Linked DNA regions of Arabidopsis thaliana. The protein of the gene in region 1 interacts with the protein of each later gene in a pairwise test. Each region holds a gene or a part of one and is shown in the gene's direction. Other genes may lie near its edges.

The links. Proteins that work in one complex are often made in the same cells at the same time.
Region 2: the proteins of AT3G61260 (region 1) and ROP10 interact in a protein complementation assay, tested with the Arabidopsis thaliana proteins (one large-scale study listed by BioGRID).

The regions. Positions count from the first base shown.
Region 1 is NC_003074.8:22,675,063-22,678,822, reverse strand, and holds the start of AT3G61260 (Remorin family protein), read left to right. Parts: upstream 1-1,971; 5' UTR 1,972-2,121; coding exon 2,122-2,341; intron 2,342-2,743; coding exon 2,744-2,797; intron 2,798-2,878; coding exon 2,879-2,966; intron 2,967-3,055; coding exon 3,056-3,137; intron 3,138-3,225; coding exon 3,226-3,420; 3' UTR 3,421-3,760. Other genes in the region: AT3G61270 (O-glucosyltransferase rumi-like protein (DUF821)), read right to left, coding at 1-312, 416-553.
Region 2 is NC_003074.8:17,729,577-17,733,336, forward strand, and holds the start of ROP10 (RHO-related protein from plants 10), read left to right. Parts: upstream 1-1,760; 5' UTR 1,761-1,984; coding exon 1,985-2,089; intron 2,090-2,414; coding exon 2,415-2,502; intron 2,503-2,700; coding exon 2,701-2,810; intron 2,811-2,903; coding exon 2,904-2,967; intron 2,968-3,062; coding exon 3,063-3,127; intron 3,128-3,228; coding exon 3,229-3,294; coding exon of another isoform or gene 3,295-3,336; exon of another isoform or gene 3,337-3,395; coding exon 3,396-3,499; intron 3,500-3,640; coding exon 3,641-3,665; 3' UTR 3,666-3,760. UniProt on the Arabidopsis thaliana protein: Acts as a negative regulator of abscisic acid (ABA) responses.

The DNA.
Region 1 (3,760 bases):
TGTTTGTATTGACTTCTTATATCTCTTAACGTACGCCTTCCCGTTACGGATCACCAATCTAAAATGCGCCGTTCTACTCGCTTCTTCGATCATCCCTCTAGTTATCCCCGTTTGTTTCCATGGCCGTAGATCTTCATGGATCCAACGGAAATAAGAAGGACACGTGGATGATTTTGAACTGTTGTTGGGGTTTAATCTCGATTTGCGGTTTTGTGAGATAGGAGTTTGACTTGATTGGTTCTGTACGAAGTCGCATCCGTAAGGATTTGGTTCTTTTGTCTTTGTTGTTAGCTTTAAACCTGCAAAAGCATTCTATAAAACAAAACAATAAGACAAATTATGATTATGATTAACGTTAACTACTGCGATTTATATTAAAGATAAACCAAGAATGTAAGGTGATATTAAAACCCACGAAATCGAGATAGCCCAGTAAGTCTAAGATAGCAGCTGAAATGAATAGAACGACGATGAAAACAGTAGCCTTCACGATGCTTTTTCGAGGAAATGTCACCGTTTTATTATGTTGGCCGTCGTTGTTATTCATCTTCATGCTTCTGTTTTGTGTTTATGTTGATGCACGAGTTTATGTAATAAAAGATTAACGAGAGAGCCGAGAGGATACATAAAAGGAGAATCAACAGAAACGCAACACAAAAGTATGAAGATAACAAAAAAAAAAACATGATATGACATCAAACTCATATATTTATTCCCTAAAACATACAATAAAGAAGTTTATTGTTTATAAGTAAGAGATGCATGTGATGTAATACAGGTCTAGAGATTTTGTTTTATGTTAATAGTATTTGTATAGACATTTTGTTTTAAGTGACGTATTATTTATTAGTATTTGTTTCCAGTAACATTAAATGGTATTAACATGGCACGGTCTAAGAAGTCAATATTTTCTAACTACCTCCAACTACGAGAGTGGACGTGCCAAATTGCACTTTTAGTTTTAGTAAGTACAACAAGATCAATAATGTAAGATGCACTTGATAATTAGGCACATTCCAGTCACTAACTCTTATCTTTGTCCATATAAGCCATTTTAAATTGTTTTTATTGACTTCTTTAAAGATAGCAAACACTAGTTAAACACACAAATCAAAGTTTTATAAGGTATGCGATATATTAATAACTGACGCTGTGAATGTGATTAGGCCTTTTCTGAAGTCATGCTTTTCCCACTTAGACATAACAATTTTACCTTCATCCCTATTCAGATGGAAACAGTTGGTTAAGATCGGTTTACGTCCATGGTTTGGATTTTGGAAGATATCATATCAGTGTTGGTTATAGGTAGGTGTTGTGTTAAGTGTTAACATCTCCCCTAATTTTTTTGTAAAATCAAAAGAGCTTCATTAAAAGTTACTAACTTCTATGCTTGATGTCTAGTGAGTAGTGACTTAGTTTAGTAATGGAACTTAAACTATGATATCTGTACAGTTGTACTAACGCTTCCGCATCATATAGAATGATAGAAAACAAATGTGTATTTACGGAGCGAATCTCGGAGTAGTTTGGATCAGTTTAGTCTTTTTGGAAAACAAATCCTGTCAGATAGCTTTTGGATCTTTCCTAAAAACCTCTAAATAAAGAATATGAATCGAGCCCAATAAATTAGGCCCATCTTATACGGCACGTCTTATACACGCGCTCCTACAAACATGGATAATATCCACGCGCCAATAGAGTGCGTGGGGTCACAACAACTCAGTATCTTATCTGTCTCCAGCGTGTCTTCCTCCACGTCACGCTTTCGTCCGACATATTATTATTTAAACAGAAAAACAATTTACTAATGAAAACAAATTGACATTTGCTTACGTGGCATATGTTTAACCGCATTACCTGTCTGTCGGCAAGCTGAATTTTTGTGTTCGGCTGCATCGCAGTTCACGTGGATACACAACAAATGGATTTATAACCGTAGGATCTGATGCCTTTATATATCAACGGATAATAAAATAAGGTATTTTTAACCCCAAAAAAACGCGGCTAATACGTATAAACATCTTTCTGTTGCTTGGAAATAATATCTTCAATTTTTCATATTTCGTTTTTAATTTGGTTTTCTTTTTTCCTCTCTATTTCTTCGGCTGAGAGGCGGCGACTATGGCGGAGGAACAGAAGATAGCGTTAGAATCAGAATCTCCGGCGAAGGTTACGACTCCTGCTCCAGCAGATACACCGGCTCCAGCTCCGGCAGAGATTCCGGCTCCAGCTCCAGCTCCGACTCCGGCTGATGTCACGAAAGACGTTGCAGAGGAGAAAATTCAAAACCCACCTCCGGAGCAAATTTTCGATGACTCCAAAGCCCTTACTGTTGTTGAGAGTAAGTTAATTTCTCTTAACGCATGTAATTATGGATTCTGTTCTCTGATAATCTTCTGCTTTGACGAGGAAATATTGGTTTTGGGGTTAACTTGGTTCTGTATTTTAAAAATTAGGTTTTATTGGTTATTAGGATTGGGTTGCTCCAGAGATAGAATTTGTCATTGAAATACGATTAGAGTGCACAGTTAAATTCGAATTCGTTTCGATTTAAAGTCTCGAGATTGGTAAATTTAGTTTTGTTGTGATGTATAATTCAATGTATATGGTCATTAAGCACCCAAAAATTGTAGCTTTATGTTCATAACCATGCATATGTTTTGTATGTGTTTGCTTGTGACTCTCTTCTGTGGCAATTTTGCTGGTTATGTTTGAAATTTTAACGGAATGAATTTTTTTACAGAACCTGTAGAAGAGCCTGCACCGGCGAAACCTGCGTCTGCATCGCTCGATAGAGGTGAGCTTAAACAAAATTGTGTGACTTCTTTCTGGATGTAATGTTTGTTAAAGTTTCTGAGTTCCATTGTTTGGTTTGTAGATGTTAAGCTAGCTGATTTGTCAAAGGAAAAGAGATTGTCTTTCGTCAGAGCGTGGGAAGAAAGCGAAAAGAGCAAAGCAGAGAACAAGTAAGACATTTTATTTTATCGTCACTGGTTTTAGGTTTTGGCTTTTTTATGTTCTTTGCCTGATTTTGCTGACTATTGACATGAAACAGAGCTGAGAAGAAGATTGCAGATGTTCATGCTTGGGAAAACAGCAAGAAAGCAGCTGTCGAAGCGCAACTCAAGAAAATCGAGGTATAATAAACTTAGCAATAGAGAGGTGAAACGGTTTTAATGTGATTGAGAAGTGAAGTGTTAATTTGTGAGTTTTTTCTCAATGCAGGAGCAACTAGAGAAGAAGAAAGCAGAGTATGCAGAGAGGATGAAGAATAAGGTTGCAGCGATTCACAAGGAAGCAGAAGAGAGAAGAGCAATGATTGAAGCTAAGCGTGGAGAAGACGTTCTTAAAGCAGAAGAAACGGCTGCTAAATACAGAGCCACTGGAATTGTTCCAAAGGCAACTTGTGGATGTTTCTAATCTTGAATTTGCGAATCAAAGTTTCAAGACTTCGTAACTGTAAAGTGTAATCAAATTTCTCTGTTCTCTTTAATGGCTTGTAATGTTGTTTGTATATTGATTTTGTGTGTGACAATCAGAGTGAAAAATATGTTTCATTGTTTTCTTTCCGCAATTTTCTCAAGCATTGTCACATCACATCATGGAGAGAAGATTGATGACTCAAGTCATTAAGAATATGAGGAGATTTTCTAAAGTTCTTCAACTAATAACAGTAGCTAATGGACCAAAAGAAATTCGAAGGACGGGATCCTAAGTTCAGTTTGTTTATAACGTATTTTTGAATGTAACACTTAAATTT
Region 2 (3,760 bases), 4.9 Mb from region 1:
ATGTTACAGAAAAAAAGAAGGAAAAGTTTGGTTGCTATTTTCCAAAACTTAAAAGTCCCCAATTCAGAGTTAATCCTAATTCCTATATATATATATATCTTTCTCTCTTCTATAACTACATATGTGTTTAACCAAGTTATGTTCATTTCTCCTAGCTAGAACCAGGTAAAATTTGTTTTATTGAAATAATCTATACAATTAATTGGTAATGAGTAATGCCAGAATCTTACAAAAAAAATGATGGCAAAATATAACAGTTTTTAATGCTAAACAAAATAAGAAGGATCAACCGATAAAGAAAAAGAAATAACGTACTATAATCAATGCTTCTTAAGCATGTGATTAGCTTTTAGTATCCTTTTAATCCTACTATATTATTTGGGAAATACATTTTAAATGTAACCTTAATTTTTGTAATTAATTACATGACAATACCATTAGAAAAATTTAATCAAAAACAAAATCTTTTAATGACATCATTAAGGTTACCAAAATCATTTAACGACAATATTCATTTCTTAATTATAGGGCTTGTTGAATCTAAAGACGGGTCATCAAAGATTTTCTAAACTAAAGCAAAATATACCGAATATTCAAATATCTTTCTGTTACCAAATTATAAACAAATAAGTTCGTAAAACAATTTAATATTTTATATACGAAATCAATAAATCTTAATCACATAAAAATTTGTACAAAAAAAAAGTATTCAACAATTAAAAATTTATCAAATCTCTGTGTTATATAAGTTTTGATATTATATTCGAATAAAGTGTAATATACCTTTTTAATTTGTATTCTTTAACTAATTTAAGCTAACTAATATATTTGCTAATCTTATACCTATTAAAACCGACTATCGTTTCTTATCTCTATAGTATTTTTGCAAGATTTTTTTGGTGGATTTGGATAAAAGTGCATTCGGGTCATATGGTACATTCCCCTATTAAATAAATATGGTGCACTCCTATGTTATTAGCTAAAATGTTTAGAATTCAGAGTCATATCATAAATAAAATTAATATGAATAAAATAAATGGCTTTTTGGCAAGACGGATTTAGAAGGACGGGTTTTTGAATCAACATTAATAAAAAAGTAAAATATAATTAATCCACCGTTTCAATACGGGTAAAATCTTTAATTTATTATTTTTTAAGACCACTAATATTAAACATATCAAATTATCCTAATTTAGAAAATATTATATAAAACCAAAAATGTTATGTGATATGTATAATGTTACTATATATAAAATTAAACTATAAAATATAAATGTATTAGAGAATGATACAATTTGCAAAACTTTTATATATAATAAATAATTCTTAAATTTTAAAAATTACGACTTAAAAAAAAACTCACGGGACGGGTAAAGAAATTACAGAACGAGTTTTATTTTGGAATTCGGTTATATGGTGGATGTATTTGAATCAATATTTATAAAATTATAAAATATTATTAATATGCTGTTTTAATAAGGGTTAAAACTTCAGTTTTTTAACAATTGTCTTATAGATTCGTGGCATAGCGTTACTTAATAACAATTATAAACCGTAAAATATAAATATTTTATAAAAATAAAATTTGCAAGTTTTAATATATATTACCTTTAAAAAATTAATCGTCTCGCGGTATACCACGGGTTAAAATCTAATACATTTGTAAAAGCGATAAATATGAAACGATTTAGAAAAGTCATGTGGATTAGATGGATATATCATGTGAGCCCCTCTTCTTTCCCTCTCTTCAGTCTTCAAACCAAAAAACGAAAGAGACAAAAATACAAAATTGAAACTTTGAAAATATTGAAAGAAAAGTGAAAAAAAAGAGAGTTTAGTTTTTTTAATCATATGGGGTTTATATAGTTTATTACCACACTTCCTCATGTTAATCACTTCATTTATCTCTCTATTATCTCTCTCACAATCTCTCTGGTTTTTGGGCGTTTCTTCGTTGAAAGTTGTTTGCTTTTGGTGAGTTAGAATGGCTTCGAGTGCTTCAAAATTCATCAAATGTGTGACTGTTGGAGATGGTGCCGTTGGAAAAACTTGTATGCTCATCTGCTACACTAGCAACAAATTCCCTACTGTAAGTTTAAAATTTGATCAAGTAAATCACAGTTTCGCTGATTTTTCATCAAATTGTTCTTTCGGGCATCTCCAATTTCGTCACTTTTAGTTGAATATACTTCTGGGTCTGTCAAATTTCAACTCTTTCACCGAGAATTTTAGCATGGTATTTCAAAGTTAGCTCCTTTTTTAGGGATTGTGCAAAAATAATCCTTTTTTGGAGATTCTGAAAAATCTTACATTGTAAAGTTAGTGGCTTTCTTGATTCACCAGTGTTTCCTCTTACTCTATTGCGCATTTGTTGTTCTCGTGAAGTTAAAGATTTGCTTGATGGATTGTATCAGGACTACATACCAACAGTTTTTGACAACTTTAGTGTTAATGTTGTGGTTGAAGGCATCACTGTGAACTTAGGCCTTTGGGACACTGCCGGTAAGTAACATTTCTGTATCCCTCTCTTGAATATCTCAGAATAACCAAGTTCACTAATGTTATGTGGTTCTAATCTTTCTAACATCTAGCAAGTTTGCTTTTGATTTGGGATTCTTAGATAGAGAACTTTATAGGGAGTGTTGAAGATTAGTGACTGTTAAGAGTTTTATGATTATGAGTACCCTTTCATGTTTGCAGGGCAAGAAGACTATAACAGACTAAGGCCTTTAAGTTACAGAGGAGCAGATGTTTTTGTGTTGGCTTTCTCATTGATCAGCCGAGCTAGCTATGAGAATGTGTTTAAAAAGGTTTGTGGAAATTGGATTCATTGTATTTCTTACTGGGAAAACAAAGAATGAAATGTGAATTTCTGATGTTTTTGAAGCGTTTATTTTGTTCAGTGGATCCCTGAACTCCAACACTTTGCACCAGGAGTCCCCATTGTGCTTGTTGGTACCAAAATGGGTAAGATAGCTATAAGAGTGGAGCCAACATATTTCCTTGTGTAATGCTTGAGAATCACATATATGTAATGTTTCTTACAATGTTCCGTTATCTAGATCTTCGTGAAGATAGACATTACTTGTCTGATCATCCTGGACTGTCCCCGGTAACTACATCACAGGTGTGCTTTTTCAACCTGTAGAAACCGAAAAGATTGTTGTGACATTCTCTAGACTCTCTCTTCTCTAGGTTTTATATGATTTAATCATTCATGTGTTACAGGGAGAGGAACTCCGCAAGCATATCGGAGCGACTTATTACATTGAATGTAGCTCAAAAACTCAACAGGTACACTTGTTCATGTGTGTTTGGAAACTTAGGAGTCATTAGTGTTAGGTGACTCTTTACTTGCAAACTATATGCTTTTCTTTGGTTCATGGCTTTTGCAGAATGTGAAAGCCGTATTTGATGCTGCTATTAAAGTAGTAATTAAACCAGCAGTGAAACAAAAGGAGAAGAAGAAGAAGCAGAAGCCTCGCAGCGGATGTCTCTCGTAAGTTCAATAATCTTCACTCTTTTTAATATATAACTAAGAAATTATGTAATACTAGAATTTGGTTATGCAACCTTTAGCTTCTTCATACAGTTTTGTTTGTTTGTGTAATGATTATAGATTGGCTTCTCTATTGTGCAGAAACATTCTGTGTGGGAAGAATTGATGAGTCAATTCCATCTGATGATTGTTCACTTCTTTTTTTTTCTTTTCTTTTCTAATTGGCCAGTTTGTGATTCTGATAAGTCGGAATTACATAGA